2 linked regions of the Arabidopsis thaliana genome follow. The protein of the gene in region 1 interacts with the protein of each later gene in a pairwise test. Each region holds a gene or a part of one and is shown in the gene's direction. Other genes may lie near its edges.

What was found. Proteins that work in one complex are often made in the same cells at the same time.
Region 2: the proteins of FUT10 (region 1) and CRK33 interact in a protein complementation assay, tested with the Arabidopsis thaliana proteins (one large-scale study listed by BioGRID).

Annotation. Positions count from the first base shown.
Region 1 is NC_003071.7:6,685,555-6,693,003, reverse strand, and holds FUT10 (fucosyltransferase 10), read left to right. Parts: upstream 1-3,184; 5' UTR 3,185-3,243; coding exon 3,244-3,340; intron 3,341-3,416; coding exon 3,417-4,864; 3' UTR 4,865-4,882; downstream 4,883-7,449. UniProt on the Arabidopsis thaliana protein: May be involved in cell wall biosynthesis. May act as a fucosyltransferase.
Region 2 is NC_003075.7:6,974,931-6,983,233, forward strand, and holds CRK33 (cysteine-rich RLK (RECEPTOR-like protein kinase) 33), read left to right. Parts: upstream 1-3,917; coding exon 3,918-4,689; intron 4,690-4,845; coding exon 4,846-4,971; intron 4,972-5,255; coding exon 5,256-5,368; intron 5,369-5,437; coding exon 5,438-5,648; intron 5,649-5,738; coding exon 5,739-5,976; intron 5,977-6,075; coding exon 6,076-6,229; intron 6,230-6,321; coding exon 6,322-6,618; downstream 6,619-8,303. Other genes in the region: LCR11 (low-molecular-weight cysteine-rich 11), read right to left, coding at 352-599, 955-1,015.

The DNA of each region.
Region 1 (7,449 bases):
TGAACGTACCAAGCAATTGGTTATATTAGGGCTTAGGTATATATTCCATTAGAAGAAGAACAAGCTAAGTGCTATGCTATCCTCTCTCTTGGTTGCGAGTGTGAGTTTCACATGTAGATTGTAATATTGCTAAAATGTAGTCATGTCTCTTCTTCTTTCTTTATCGTGTTGTATCGTAGATCGGATAAGGGTTTGAGAAGTTATATAGCTTGTAACAAACTTGTTAGAACTTGTAACAATCTTCATAAGATTCTGGTTTTGAATCCCAACTCGTAATATATGTGTTCTTTATTTTGCATCATTCTCTTGGAAATCTCATTCCTATTAAGCAATGTCTAATCGGGAACTAATTATAGTTGATTAAGATTCACAAACAAGGCTTGTTATCTGAATCTGCTCAATTCAAAGTGATATATTCGACGCGAGACTGATGTTTTAGGAGACTCAAGAAGATACATTCATCTTGTTAGATGTCTCCCATTATCATTTATAATTTCACAAGTTTTGTAAAGAAAAAAGCATAGTAAGGTATAAAACATAGACTTACACGCTGCCACATCAAAATGGGGTTGCTGAGAGGATTAAATCAAACAGTTATAAAAAAAGGGAGAATTAGTAGAGTGACTCATATTTCATTCAGAATAACTAGAAAGGAATGGTAAAAATATGAGTTATATAGGTAATAATTATGCCTAAAATATCCCTGTTTTCCTTTGCAGAAAAAATAATATTACAGAAATACCATTACTATTTAATTCCAGCATGGCAATAAAACCACATTTATTTACGAAACTGCCATCGTCGTTTTTGGTAAATCTGTGGCTCTTGTTACGACAGATTTGTTTTCGATCACAGATTTTTTGGTCAACCACATATTTTTTACAACAGACTTGTTTTGTACCACAAATTTTACTGGATTAAGTTACGACATATTTTTATTTTTTCGCAGATTTGTTTATTGTGACAGATTTGTTTCATATAGTCTCCACAGATTTTTCTAAACTTTCAAAATTTAGAATGTTGAAATCAAATCTATCACTGATTTGTTTTCCATACAGTAGATTTTTCTTAATGGTGGCAGCAGATTTTCTATTTGTAACCAAAAGTCTGTTGTGTTATAACAGATTTGTTAACTCGGAAAAATGTTATATAGTCATGATAGAGTTGTTTTGTGTAATCACAGATTTAATTAACTTGTTAACAAATCTGGTGTTTTACAACAAATTTTTGTTAAAAATTACAATTACTACACAGTCACATAGTGATAACAGATTTGTTTTTAGTGATAACAGTTTTGTTTTTCAGTGTCAAAGCATAACAGATTTTCTCATGTCAATGTTATGGCCGATTTGTTTATCACTAGAATAACCTTTTTAGTAATAACAGATTTTTTGTTAACAGATTTGTTTTTAAAATCTTTAATTTTTTTATTACATGAGTTTTATTAGCTAAGCAATTTTACTCAAGTAAAATCTTTCCGGTTTGATTATATGTTAAAATCGGTTTGATTCAATTTAACTTTAAAAAAAAAATCGATAACATCACCACAGAAAACAGCCCACCAAAACCTACTAATCCTCATAATTCAAAAGTGATAACATACAATCTGCCATTCTTAAACAATCTACGACAATATTACTTTAATTGATAAAAAATAAAATGTGGAAAATGATTTACGAACTACAACGGATTGATAAGAAATAGACTTTTCGGTGTTACTCGAAAACATGATCTTAACTTTTCGGTGTACAAGAACTGGAAAACACGAGCGAAGGGCTTTTTAATTTTACATACTAAAGTTCTTAACTTTTAGTTTGCCCATTTGCTTAGTACGTTCCTTTACAAGCTATGACAACATTAATTTAATTGATAAGAAATAGAAATGTGGTTTCCATAACCGGATTTCTGAGTTTTGTTATTTTTACATTTGTTTATTTATTTTTATTAGTAATTCTTTTTTTTTTTAATCAAAATATAGTTTTAATACTGACTGAGGTTAAATAGTCTTTTAACTTAAAATATGAGTCATAATAGTTAGTCATCGATTATTGGGAGTCACAATAGTTATTTCTATTAAGATTAGAGTCAGTCTAAGCAATTTTCACTAAAAAAAATGAGAAATATGTTGAGTAATAATGGACTTGGTCAAAGGTTCTAGGCGGAAACCAAACCATAGTTCTATTCGTGTAATGTTAGAGCCTTACAGTTCAATCGTTTTGGAATATCTTTTTGAGCGTTTGTTAATCGAGTTTAGGAATTTGACTATGGTAAATCGTTTCAGCAATGCACATGACTTTATCTAATTCATTATATGGATAAAAAATAAGTGATTATATTTGAAGAGTGGGAATGTAAACAGATCTCAATATATGTTCAGTAACAAAATGTTGCATATTTCACTATATTAATTCAAGTTTGCATGCTGCGGAGGGAGTATAGAGTCACATGGGTCAATTGACCCTGGTTAAATTTAAAAAATTAGCTGAAGTTTTATTTAATATGTTAGATTGACTCTAATCAAATAAGAAAATTGACCCCTATAAAACAATTTACTTGAGAAGACTTCTAATAGTTAAGCCCAACAACTATATTGTATTTAGGTAATTGTACTTGTATATAGAATTCACCTCAATAATATTTTGTTTTAAAAGTAAATATACTATAATTAAGCCCATTAATATACTTTAACCTATTATTTAACATTTTTTGTATTCTAAAAACGTTATAGTTTCTTTTTTCTTATTTTTTTTCTTTGTTTCAATCTTCAATCTTGAGTTTATAACTTATGCGGTTTTAGAAAGAATTTTTTTTTGACCCCGATGGATCGATACGCTGGCTCCGCCACGTGCCAGACAATCCCTACTTCTTTAGATTCCAAGATTACAATATTGTAACACCCGTTAATTCACAACAGCTCTCTTATTGACATTTTTTTCGTTAATTATTTCTAAATCACAATTTGGAATTCTAACAACAAAAACAAAAAACAATTTTATTGGTAACTCAACAATAAACAAAACAAATTTGGAATCACGTTCGGAGATCGTGTGTAGTCAACTCAACAATTCACATTAAAATATTCGAAGTCTTATTTACATGATCTGTGGTTGATAATAGAAGTTATAATCAAGCTATATAAAAGTTGTAAACTCTTTTTGAATCATCTCACACTTATAACCGATCAAACGAAAGTCAACAACTAACACAAATTTCATATCTCCAACAAAGGCTTTGGGGTTGAAGATGAAAATTCTGATCGCGGTCGTCTTTGGTTGCTTACTAATTATACTATCATTCTCAAAATACTTCAACGACCAACTTCTTGATGCTACAACCAAAGGTAAGAAAATTATCCATATCTTGTGTTTTATTGTTAACCCAATGAATCCTCAGTTCATATCATTTTCTTGTTATAGATATAAAGGAATCCGAAAGACCGGTGGATAAACTTATAGGAGGGCTTTTAACTGCGGATTTTGATGAAGGTTCTTGCTTGAGTAGGTATCATAAATATTTCTTGTACCGCAAGCCTTCTCCATACATGCCTTCGGAATATCTCGTCTCTGAGCTTAGAAGCTATGAGATGCTTCACAAACGTTGCGGTCCGGATACCAAGGCTTACAAAGAAGCAACAGAGAAGCTTAGTCGTGATGAGTACTATGCAAGCGAATCAAATGGTGAATGCAGATACATTGTATGGCTAGCTAGGGACGGGCTTGGAAACAGATTAATTACTCTTGCTTCCGTGTTTCTCTACGCTATCTTGACTGAGAGAATCATTCTTGTTGACAACCGCAAGGATGTTAGTGATCTCTTATGTGAGCCATTTCCAGGTACTTCATGGTTGCTTCCGCTTGACTTTCCAATGCTGAATTATACTTATGCTTATGGCTACAATAAGGAATACCCTCGTTGTTACGGTACAATGTTGGAAAATCATGCCATCAACTCGACTTCAATTCCGCCACATCTATATCTCCATAACATCCATGATTCTAGGGATAGTGATAAGCTGTTCTTCTGCCAAAAGGATCAAAGTTTTATCGACAAAGTCCCATGGTTAATTATTCAAACCAATGCTTACTTTGTTCCATCTTTATGGCTGAATCCAACTTTCCAAACCAAACTAGTTAAGCTATTCCCGCAGAAAGAAACCGTCTTTCACCATTTGGCTCGGTATCTTTTTCACCCTACAAATGAAGTTTGGGATATGGTCACTAAGTACTACGATGCTCACTTGTCCAATGCAGACGAGAGACTTGGGATTCAAATAAGGGTTTTCGGAAAACCTTCTGGATATTTCAAACATGTCATGGACCAAGTCGTAGCATGTACACAAAGAGAGAAACTGTTGCCTGAATTTGAAGAAGAATCAAAAGTCAATATATCTAAACCACCAAAGCTTAAAGTAGTTCTTGTCGCATCTCTCTATCCAGAGTACTCTGTCAACTTAACTAACATGTTTTTAGCGAGGCCAAGTTCTACAGGAGAGATTATCGAAGTTTATCAGCCAAGTGCAGAAAGAGTGCAGCAAACAGACAAGAAAAGTCACGACCAAAAGGCGCTTGCTGAGATGTATCTTTTGAGTTTAACCGATAACATTGTCACAAGCGGATGGTCTACATTTGGATATGTTTCATACAGTCTTGGAGGATTAAAGCCATGGTTACTTTATCAGCCAGTAAATTTCACCACTCCTAATCCACCGTGTGTTCGATCCAAGTCGATGGAGCCATGTTACCATACTCCTCCTTCGCATGGATGTGAAGCTGACTGGGGAACTAACTCGGGGAAGATTCTTCCTTTTGTTAGGCATTGTGAGGATATGATGTATGGGGGGCTTAAGCTATATGATGACTTTTAGTTCTATTTTATCACATTTGATTATTGAGTTCTTAAAATCAAAAGAGAAATTCTATCTCTCTTTACAGTTTATTAATATGTTAGATTTTTTTAAAACGTTTACGAGGTTTGCATGATTTAGAATAACTGTTGGTGTGTAGAGAAAGGAGACCACGTCCCTAAAGGAATGAGCCGCCATCGAGAAAGGGATACACAATCGAACACTCAAGAACCCTAGAAAAGAGCCTACAAAGAACCTTAATCTTCTTTATCTTCTCTTCCATCTTTTCACTGATTTTTTGGATTCGTCTAAGGTTTGGGAACGATATCATACTGCACCACTATGGATGCAAATTCACCAAGGCACACGGCTACAAAGGTGTTCACGAAGATCTTCTAGAAAGAAGACTGATAGGCCAGAGTTTGAGCTTGATTCTTCAGGAGAATACTTTGCTCCTCCAGGAGTCGAGATTGCTTCTCCAAGAGGAGGAGGTGCTTCTCCATGTTTTCCCTCCAAGACACTTCCAAAAACGGTGTTACAAACAGAGATCGCAAAACAAATGAGGAATATTAAAAAAAAACATTGTTCAACCTAGACTAAACGTATACAAGAGATTGATTCAAACACACATTCACACATTTATAACCAAATATTAAAAAGAATGATGAGAAAATGAATTTCCACAATGCTTTGGAAACCGATGAATTTCCAAGAATGATGAGAAAGTTAATAACCAAATAGTGAACCCATTTCTTTCCTTTTCTAGAATCAATCTCAAATTGATGAGATTGTCGTTCTTGGCTATCATCTCTTGGATGAAACTCCATAATCGTCTAATGCTCTTGATGTTGTTAGTTGATATCTTCTCCGGCATCAATTCGTAGATTCTCCATAGATAAAATACAAAGCATACTACGAGACTTAGCGAGGTCCGTTTATAGAGATTTACATCAATTCTTGCAAAGATAGTATTTTTTCTTTGGTGATGTTTTGTTTGTACCGAAGTTGTAACAACGAATAAGTAAGGGATTGTCAGGGACAACAAAGTAATTTTTATTAGATGACGAATGAAAACGGTAAACAACAGGTTGATCAAATAATTACAAGTAATTTCTATCGATCGGCAACGTAATATGAATCGAATTGAGAACAAAACGAACCGAGAACAAAAACGAACCGAGAACAAAACGAACCGAAAGACAAGGTTTTTTAGTATGAATATTGTCCTGATTCTCTGGGAATTAACTTGTGTATCACTATTTCGCAAATAGTGCTTTATTTATAGGACAAATTTTCTGACCTAAAGATTCTTCTACTCCTTCTGTAAATTACTGTTTTGCCTTTGACGTTTAATGGGCTGATTTGGTGAAGACAATGGGTCCATTGAACACTTAAATCTCTCTTTTGACCAAATGATATAGAAAAGGTGAGCCCATGTCCAACAGGTTTTGCCAAACTTGTTTATGAAAAAATATCATTCTATTTACATAATAAATATTAAATATATTTTCTATAATATAGTTAGTGATGTAGAAGCCAAACTTCTAGTCAACTGTAGCCTGTATCCCCAGTCCCCACGCAAAGTTTATGTGTCAAAAATCTGTATATAAGCTTTTGATTTCTTTGTCATATTTTAACCACAAATATACAGTAGAATCGAATCCACAGAGACCATGCAGTTGAGAAAATAACTTGAAACTGTTCTACAATTCAAATCATGGGTGTAAGATTATTCTACTCTCGCATCAATAAATTTTATGAATACCATTTTAAGATTTTAAACTCACGTTTGAATTTAGGAAGCAAGCCTTACACAACTAAACTACTCAATCATGCATCATCAGGTAAAATATCACAAATTATGTATAGAATTTCACAATCATAAATCAAATGTAAAGAGTAAAATGCTTAAAGAAAACTTATCAATGTCGAGACCAAAATTTGTGATTGTGAAATCAGATTAAGTAATTTTAAGCAATATGTTTATCTCTTAATTTACGTGAAAAAGAGTAGTGACAACTATCACCAAAAAAAAAAAAAAAAAAGGCAAAAACCTTAATAATATATATTTGTATAAATATAAAATTTAATCACCAAAAAGAAAGTTTGTACAATCAATGCGTCATAGAGAATTGAGAATAAAGACCAATCAAAAACTGAGAATTACATCAAAATGGGAGAGCTAGTGGCTGCGGACATGAAACCAATATCGAAGACCTTCATCATAGACACTCATTATAGACGAAATTTGGCATAAAAATACCCTTGAGATAGAAATCTATAACGATAGCAGTCAATTCAATTGTTAAACTAAAATTAAAATAAAGTAGATACCGTTTCTTTCACACATTAAATTGAATCAATAATTCATAAGAAACACAATGGGGTCAACATTTTATTAACGACGACAGACGACACCAAGATAGAGCCTACCAACTAGAAGTTATGCTTTTGCTATTCCTAAATGCATGTATGCAAGCAAATTAAGTACCCCAGTCCCCACATTTAAGAAAACGTATATACCGTACATATTAGTTTTTGAGGTTTAGGACTTAGTATTTACTATTTAGATTTTAAGGCATAAAGGTCTTTCAACAAAAAAAAAA
Region 2 (8,303 bases), on another chromosome or scaffold:
GTTTTTTTTTTTACTTTGAAATTTATTTCTCGTATTTGTAATTCTGATATACAAGGTTTAAAGTTTAACAATAGATATTAAACATATTTCAGATAGAAAATTAATTAATAAACTATCAATGATGATCAATAGAAAGTTATTTAATTTATAGTTTAAATCATACATTATATGAAGACACACATACACCATAGCACAATAGTGATTATGCCATGGTCTACTTATTTAATATATTTACAATGATAATTATTTATGTAGTATTGTTAAATACAATTATTATGAATTTTTCTTATATAAAAAAATTGTCGATGAATTGCTATCATTTGATCTTGGTTATCTGATTGTCTCATAAATCTATGTGGTGTGCGGGGTTCCATCCGATCGACACCAATATCTGCAGTTACATACTGGATTTCCTTTCTTGGATTGTCCTGTAGTTGCAATAGGCTTGCAAAAACTAACTCCTTGAGGAGATATCTTTTCACATAAAGAGGTACACAATTTCGAATCACATGTTGATGCACCCTTAGATACATGTGAAGCATTTGTTAGAACTTTAATACAAAGACGTTGTTTTCCCACTGTTCCTTTCACCATCATCCCTAATATAGTAAATATTTGAGACATAAAAATATCAGTTTCTTTTTTTTGAAGATTAATGTTTAAATACTTTTGCATATATTAATTAATAAAGTATTGGACATAATGGAAAAAAGCTATCCAAAAACTATGGATACTATGGTTTTGGAATGACTTTGATCTTTAACACTATTTGACAAGGTTTTGATATAAAAATATTGAATTTGCTATTAAATAATTAAATTTAGCTATTTAAGTGAGATATAGAATTGACATTATTCAGATAGATTGCATGTTCTTAATATCTAATTTTATTTTCATATGATAAAATATATAAATATTTTTTAAGAAAATATGTTTGTAAATCTAACTACAAACCTATTGCAAGGACGATGAAGATAGTTAGAATGGTTGTTGATAGTTGACTAGCTTTCTTCATCTCATATACTCTAAACAAATTGATGATGTTTTTTTTTTTTTTTTTTTTTTTTTTTTTTTTTTTTGTTTTGTCAGATGATGTTTTTGGTTAATTTGTTTAATGAAAAAGTGAACAAAATTTAAAGTATATATAAGAAAAGTTAGATGTGTCTATTTTTTTAATGATACATCTTAGATCTATCACCTCCTGAAATTTAGGTTAAAAAAACGTGGTTCTCCATTAATTCCATTTTTTTGTTAAAGGATTGATTCCAATTTTTTTCCTTATCTAATTAAGGAGTCTTAGAAGTTAGAACCACACAATAATTTCAGTTAACACCATTAAATTACAAAAAAAAACTTTTTGATGGGTGATTTAAGTAAGAGGAGAAATTAAAAAAAAGATATATGTTCGCCTTAAAATTTGTTGAAACAATGTGAAATTCAAAAATAATAATAAAAAATCAAATGTATTTCGGAGACTGCATAACTCGTCTTTGGATAATACATTAATACCATACATTTTTTCTTTTATTCTAGTCTCTTTTCTATATATATATATATATATTTATTTATTTATTTATTTTTAAAAACCTATTTAGATAAAACATAGAAGATTTTAAAGAATAGAATGTATTTACGACAAAAAAAGAAAAGAATAGAATGTATTTACAGCAAATGAAAGTAACATACATAATTACATACAAAAAGCTAGTAAGAACCTTCACACCAAAAAAAAACTGGTACGAACCAAACTGATTTACCAATCAACAGAGCCGATCCTAGGTTGTGGGGCTTAAAACATTTTTAGTATGTGGTCTTTCCAAAATATACTAACAATAAACGTTTAATATTAATAATCTATAAAACATGAAAGGGAAAAAATACTATAAGCATTATCTGAACGTGAAACAAAACAAACACTATAGAAACGTGAAAAGAAAAAAATTGCTAAGAAAAAGGGTAATTTGCAGCAAAAAAAAAGAAGGAACGAAGTAAGTAGAAGTTGTGGTCGTTTGATCCCACGATCAAGGATGGGTCGGGCCTGCCAATCAACAATAGAAAAATATATTGTGAAAACATTAGCAATGAATTGTCACTAGTCCAAACAGATTACAACTTTTCAAAGTTCTTTACACCCTCATAATTTCTTGTTTTATGCATCCAACTCTATGGTTTAGCATATGTGGTCCAGTTGTAGGAGGGAGCTTTGGTAAAGGGTTTTGTTGTAATCTTAAAACTTGGGGCCTATTTATAGAAGAAAAAAAATAATTGAGGGCCTATTTTGTAAAGAAAAATTTTCTAAAACTTTGGGAATCACATTCAATTGTTTCTCCTTGCTCCGTTGAGTTACCGCACTAATGCTCACTACTAGCAAACACACTCTTTCAGTGCGACAGCCTCATGAGCTTGAAGTTGTTTAGCAAATCGGTTCCTACCAATGTACTAAACCGGTTATATAATCTGATTATGTATAACCAAACCGGTTATTGTATAAATGTCCAACCGGGGTTCACGATTCTACCGTTGTTCCGCCTAATTCTGATTTGTTAAACGACGAGAAATTTCTTATGGAAGTTAGGGTTTCCTGGCCGTTGATTGGTTCGTTCCCTGTTACCTTGTTCCATTCCAATCAGTTCTCGTAGAGCTTCTAATGTCACGGCTCGTGATGGCTTCTTCAATTCTTCGAGTGGGAGGATGCGTAATCCATGTGCCAATAGCAGAGTCGTGCTCAGATTGTACCAGGGGCGGATCTAGGTGTATGGGATGTGGGGCACGTGCCCTACATTAAATTATAAGTATTAGCTTGTAAACTTATGCAGTTTAAATGATTCAGCACAACTGGTTAAGTGTTTTCAATATTCGTCCATCCTTACCCAGGTTCGAGACTAGTTGAAGTAACTTTTTTCTTTTTTTGACTTTGCTCATTTTTTCCCCCAATTTTATCAATTTAATCACTTATTTCTTCCTTTGATTTATGAACATCCACTTTTAACTTTCTTTTAAAATTTCTTTATTAATTGATTAGATAGTATATGTGTATTGATATATTTCTAAAATGTTTGATATATCTATTCATTTACTTTTATGTGAAAATGAATAACAAAGTTATATGAACACAATTTCATAGTTTTTTTTTGGGTACCTATATAAATTGTGAGAAACAAATTACAGAATTTATTGAACTACATATTTTATCACAAACTTATAGTTTAATAACGAATAGTATATATAATAATTTTGATAAAAAATAATATATAATAAGTAAATTAATAGTGCCCCAGATTAAATATTTTTCTAGATCCGCCACTGGATTGTACCATGGAAGCGTCTGATGGAGTTGTCTTAATTAGACATATGCCAATGGAAATGTAATGCTGTCCGACAATCGTCTTGATGCTTCAAGTAGCCTGTATTTTTTTTTCCGTGGGGGTTCGAAACTTGGATTCAGTCAGGTCATTCTTTAATCTTTACTTTAAACCCATTGTCAACAATGCCTCTAGTAAAACAATGGTTTTGTATTACTGTTTGTGCTGAGAAAGTAATAAGATAAGCTATTGAAATTGTCAAAATATTACTAATTTGGGTCTTTGGATTGCTCAATTTGTTGGTTATTTAACTCATATCACTCTGCTTCGTTGTGTTACGTTGAGGAGATTCATTCAACAAGCATAGTGGGCGTGTAGTCTGGGTGCATCTCACATCATTAACATTTTTGAAACTTCAACATTCTTTTAATAAACATATAACACATCAGCTCATTGCTTTGATTGGTTCTCTGATTTTGTCTATGCTCTGACTTAGCTTTTATAATGCCTTGGATATTTTAAGTTTGACAACTTGCTGAGAGAACTCAATTGCTATTTAACTGATATGAAGTGTACGGATATGTACATACTAACCCCAAACACATTTGTAAAATCATGAGAAAGACCAAGAAGATTTCCTTTTTGATCTTCTGGGTTGTTCTCATAAGCATAATTGGTGCTATTTCTTCGCAACAATGCAACGAAACTGGGTATTTTGAACCTTGGAAAACTTACGACACCAACCGTAGGCAGATCCTTACATCTCTTGCTTCCAAAGTGGTGGATCACTACGGCTTCTACAATTCTTCCATCGGCAAAGTTCCTGACGAAGTGCACGTAATGGGGATGTGCATCGACGGGACCGAACCTACGGTTTGCTCCGATTGTCTCAAGGTCGCGGCCGACCAATTACAAGAGAATTGTCCTAACCAAACTGAAGCGTATACATGGACACCTCATAAGACGCTCTGTTTTGCTCGTTACTCTAACAGTTCATTCTTCAAGAGGGTTGGATTGCACCCACTTTACATGGAGCATAGTAATGTGGATATCAAATCAAATTTGACATATTTAAATACGATATGGGAGGCTCTAACGGATCGTTTGATGTCTGACGCATCCTCGGATTATAATGCATCATTATCTAGTCGTAGATATTATGCAGCTAATGTAACAAATCTGACAAATTTCCAGAATATATATGCATTAATGCTATGCACTCCTGATCTAGAAAAAGGTGCTTGTCACAACTGTCTGGAAAAAGCTGTTTCTGAATATGGCAACCTTAGGATGCAAAGAGGAATTGTTGCATGGCCAAGCTGCTGTTTTCGGTGGGATCTGTATCCCTTCATCGGAGCTTTTAATTTGACACTTTCACCCCCGCCAGGTAATTCCTCAACTAAAAGAAAAAATATGATTCTAAGAACGTATCATTCTGCTAAGTTGCTGACCAATAGTTTGAGAAAGGTTTGAAACAGATTCAATCACTGGATGATGCATTTTCTCTATTGTAAACTATCCTCTGTGATTCTACTATGCCCAGGTAGCAAAAGGAATATCTCAGTTGGATTCTTTGTGGCCATTGTTGTTGCCACCGGAGTTGTCATCTCTGTGCTATCTACTTTAGTAGTAGTACTTGTTTGCAGAAAGAGAAAAACTGATCCTCCAGGTGAGTTGATTCGTATTTTACTCACTGATTTCTTTTTCTTTAAGAACAATAAGGCATGCATGCTTAATCAGGAACACTGCATGATGCCGGGACAAGGGAATTTTAACTAGGAATAGTTTATTCAGTTCAATGGTCAACTATCTAAAACTTCTTATTAGCTAACCAATGTTTATTAGAAAAATGAAAAACTTTGGTGAATATGAAAACATATCATCATGGTTTAGATTTGTTATGTGTACGTACTTCCATGTTGCAAGGAATAATATGACATTTCTGTGTAGCAGAGGAATCACCTAAATATTCACTGCAGTATGATCTTAAGACAATTGAAGCTGCAACATGTACCTTTTCAAAGTGCAACATGCTTGGTCAAGGTGGATTTGGAGAAGTTTTCAAGGTAAATCTTCTCAACTTCCATTAATGAATATAGGTGGTGTGATGATCTTATTCTCTTTATTATTTGTAGGGTGTGCTTCAAGACGGATCAGAAATTGCAGTGAAGAGGCTGTCAAAAGAATCAGCTCAAGGTGTACAAGAGTTCCAGAATGAGACTAGTCTCGTGGCAAAGCTTCAGCACAGAAATTTGGTTGGAGTTCTCGGGTTTTGTATGGAAGGAGAAGAAAAGATACTCGTATACGAATTTGTTCCCAACAAAAGCCTCGACCAGTTCTTGTTTGGTATTTTGCATATAACACTCAGCTCATAGTTTTTGAAGTTCTAATGATGAAGTTGCAGTTCTTGAAACTTATTTTAATTGACTTACACAGAACCTACAAAGAAAGGCCAACTGGATTGGGCGAAACGGTACAAGATTATTGTTGGAACTGCTAGAGGAATTCTATATCTTCATCATGACTCACCCCTCAAAATCATACACCGTGACCTCAAAGCTAGTAACATCCTCTTAGATGCTGAAATGGAACCCAAAGTCGCAGATTTTGGAATGGCAAGAATTTTTAGGGTGGATCAATCTCGAGCGGATACAAGAAGGGTAGTTGGAACCCAGTAAGTACCCTTTCTTCTTTTTTGCCTTTCAATCTCTGAAGTTTTGATGACCTTTTTGTCACTGGTAAACTCAAGAATTATTTTTTGTTTTCTTTCTAGTGGCTACATATCTCCAGAGTATTTGATGCATGGCCAGTTCTCGGTGAAATCTGATGTCTATAGTTTTGGAGTCTTGGTTCTTGAGATTATAAGTGGAAAAAGAAACAGCAACTTCCATGAAACTGATGAATCCGGAAAGAATTTGGTCACATATGTGAGCATTAAAAACTAAACTTTGGAAAGACTCTACTTTTTTAACCATGCAATGTAACGTAAGGTTTTGACTACTAGTGATCATTGTGGTAGGCTTGGAGGCATTGGAGAAACGGATCACCATTAGAGCTTGTGGATTCAGAACTCGAAAAGAATTATCAGAGTAATGAAGTCTTCAGATGCATCCATATCGCGCTATTATGTGTTCAAAATGATCCAGAACAACGTCCGAATTTATCTACTATCATCATGATGCTCACAAGTAACTCCATCACTTTACCGGTGCCTCAGTCACCGGTATATGAGGGAATGGACATGTTTCTACCTTCTATCAAATCTCTTCCTGGTTCTGTCAACGATTCATTGATTGATGACTTAGTTCCTCGCTGAAGATGACAGTTACTTCATATCCGAGGTGTTTCTATAATTTCTCTTAGCACTTTTTACTTTTGTTGTGTTGAGTCATACAGTGTTACTAAAATACATTGAAACTCTCTCTTACAGGGTTTCCTCTGTTCAAGCGAAGTTCGAAGATAAGCTGACTCAAGCAGGTTTTATATAACTCAAAGATTGGTGTTTTTGAAAGTTCTAACCGGAAATCAAATTGGTTTGTATGATTTTAACCGATTTCTGTTTACGGTTTTATAATGATGTCTCCTTGGCTATCTTTTGTTGGGGTTTGAATTTGTTTCTTTTGTATTGGTTGGAGGATTGAAAACTAATGTACATGTAAATTTTGGCTAGTCAAGTTTGGCTGCTGACTCCATTTGTCTCCAAATTTGGTCTGCTGACTTCTATAAGGTCTCTCAATTGGCTAACTTAATGCACGTTTTCCTTTTCTTTTTTTTTTTTTGTTTGGATCTCTGCAAATCTAATGTAAAATGGAGCGACATAACATGGGAGTTTTCTGACCAATTCACACTCTACTTGCTTCTTTTTTTGGCAGCACACTCTACTTGTTTAGTTATTATATTGAGTATTATGAATCCATATTATTGGTGGGGAATGGACATTGTGGTTTTGATTATTACTTCTAACTCTTTTTTTTGTCAAAATCAACGGTCCTATCTGTCATGGAAAATCTTCGGAGGATAAACCTTCTAACTTTGAACATTTAACACAGTCTTTGGTTCTGATCTTGAGAGAAGAAACTCAAGAGTTCATTTGTTCTAATCTTTTGTTCTTTCCTTGTAAGGTTAGATGTTGTTTCTGCACAAGTCTGCTTCAATAGCTACTTTAAACCCAATGCTACTTACGACTTAAACCGTCGCCTAATCTTTTCTTCTCTTGCTACTAATGTCACAACTCACAAGGGATTCTATAACTCCTCGATTGGTCAAGACCCCAATAGAGGCTTCATCAATAGTATGTGCATCCCTGGGACTAAACAAGAGACTTGTTCAGATTGTATCAAAGGCGCATCAGACGGCTTATTAAGGAGATATCTTAACCAAACAGAAGCTTAGACATGGCCAGATTGTTGTATGGTACGTTATTCCAACATTTCTTTCTCTGGATTTTGTTTGGAAGGACAAGAAAAAATAAACGTTTACGAGTTAATTTGTACCTAACAAAAGCCTTGACTATTTCCTCTTTGGTATGTTATGAGCTTAGATACTTTTAAGTTCCAAGATGTCCTTATTGTTGCTAATGAGTCATATACTTGCAAATGTACAGACCCTGCAAAACAAGGTGAACTAGATTGGACAAGACGGTACAATATCATTGGGGGGATTGCTCGAGGAATTCTATATCTTCATCAAGATTTACGGCTTACAATCATACACCGTGATCTCAAAGCGAGTAATATTCTCTTAGATGTCGACATGAAACCCAAAATTGCAGATTTTGGCATGGCTAGGATTTACAGAATTGATCAAAGTCATGCCAATTACACAATTAGAATCGTTGGAACATAGTGATTTTTTTTTTCTCTTAACTTATAACCTTACAAATACAAACTATATTTGGTGGTTACTTCTAGGCTAAAAAGTCTAATCCTTATTTGCAGTGGTTATATGTCTCCAGAATATGCAATGCGTAGTCATTTCTCCATGAAATCTGATGTCTATAGC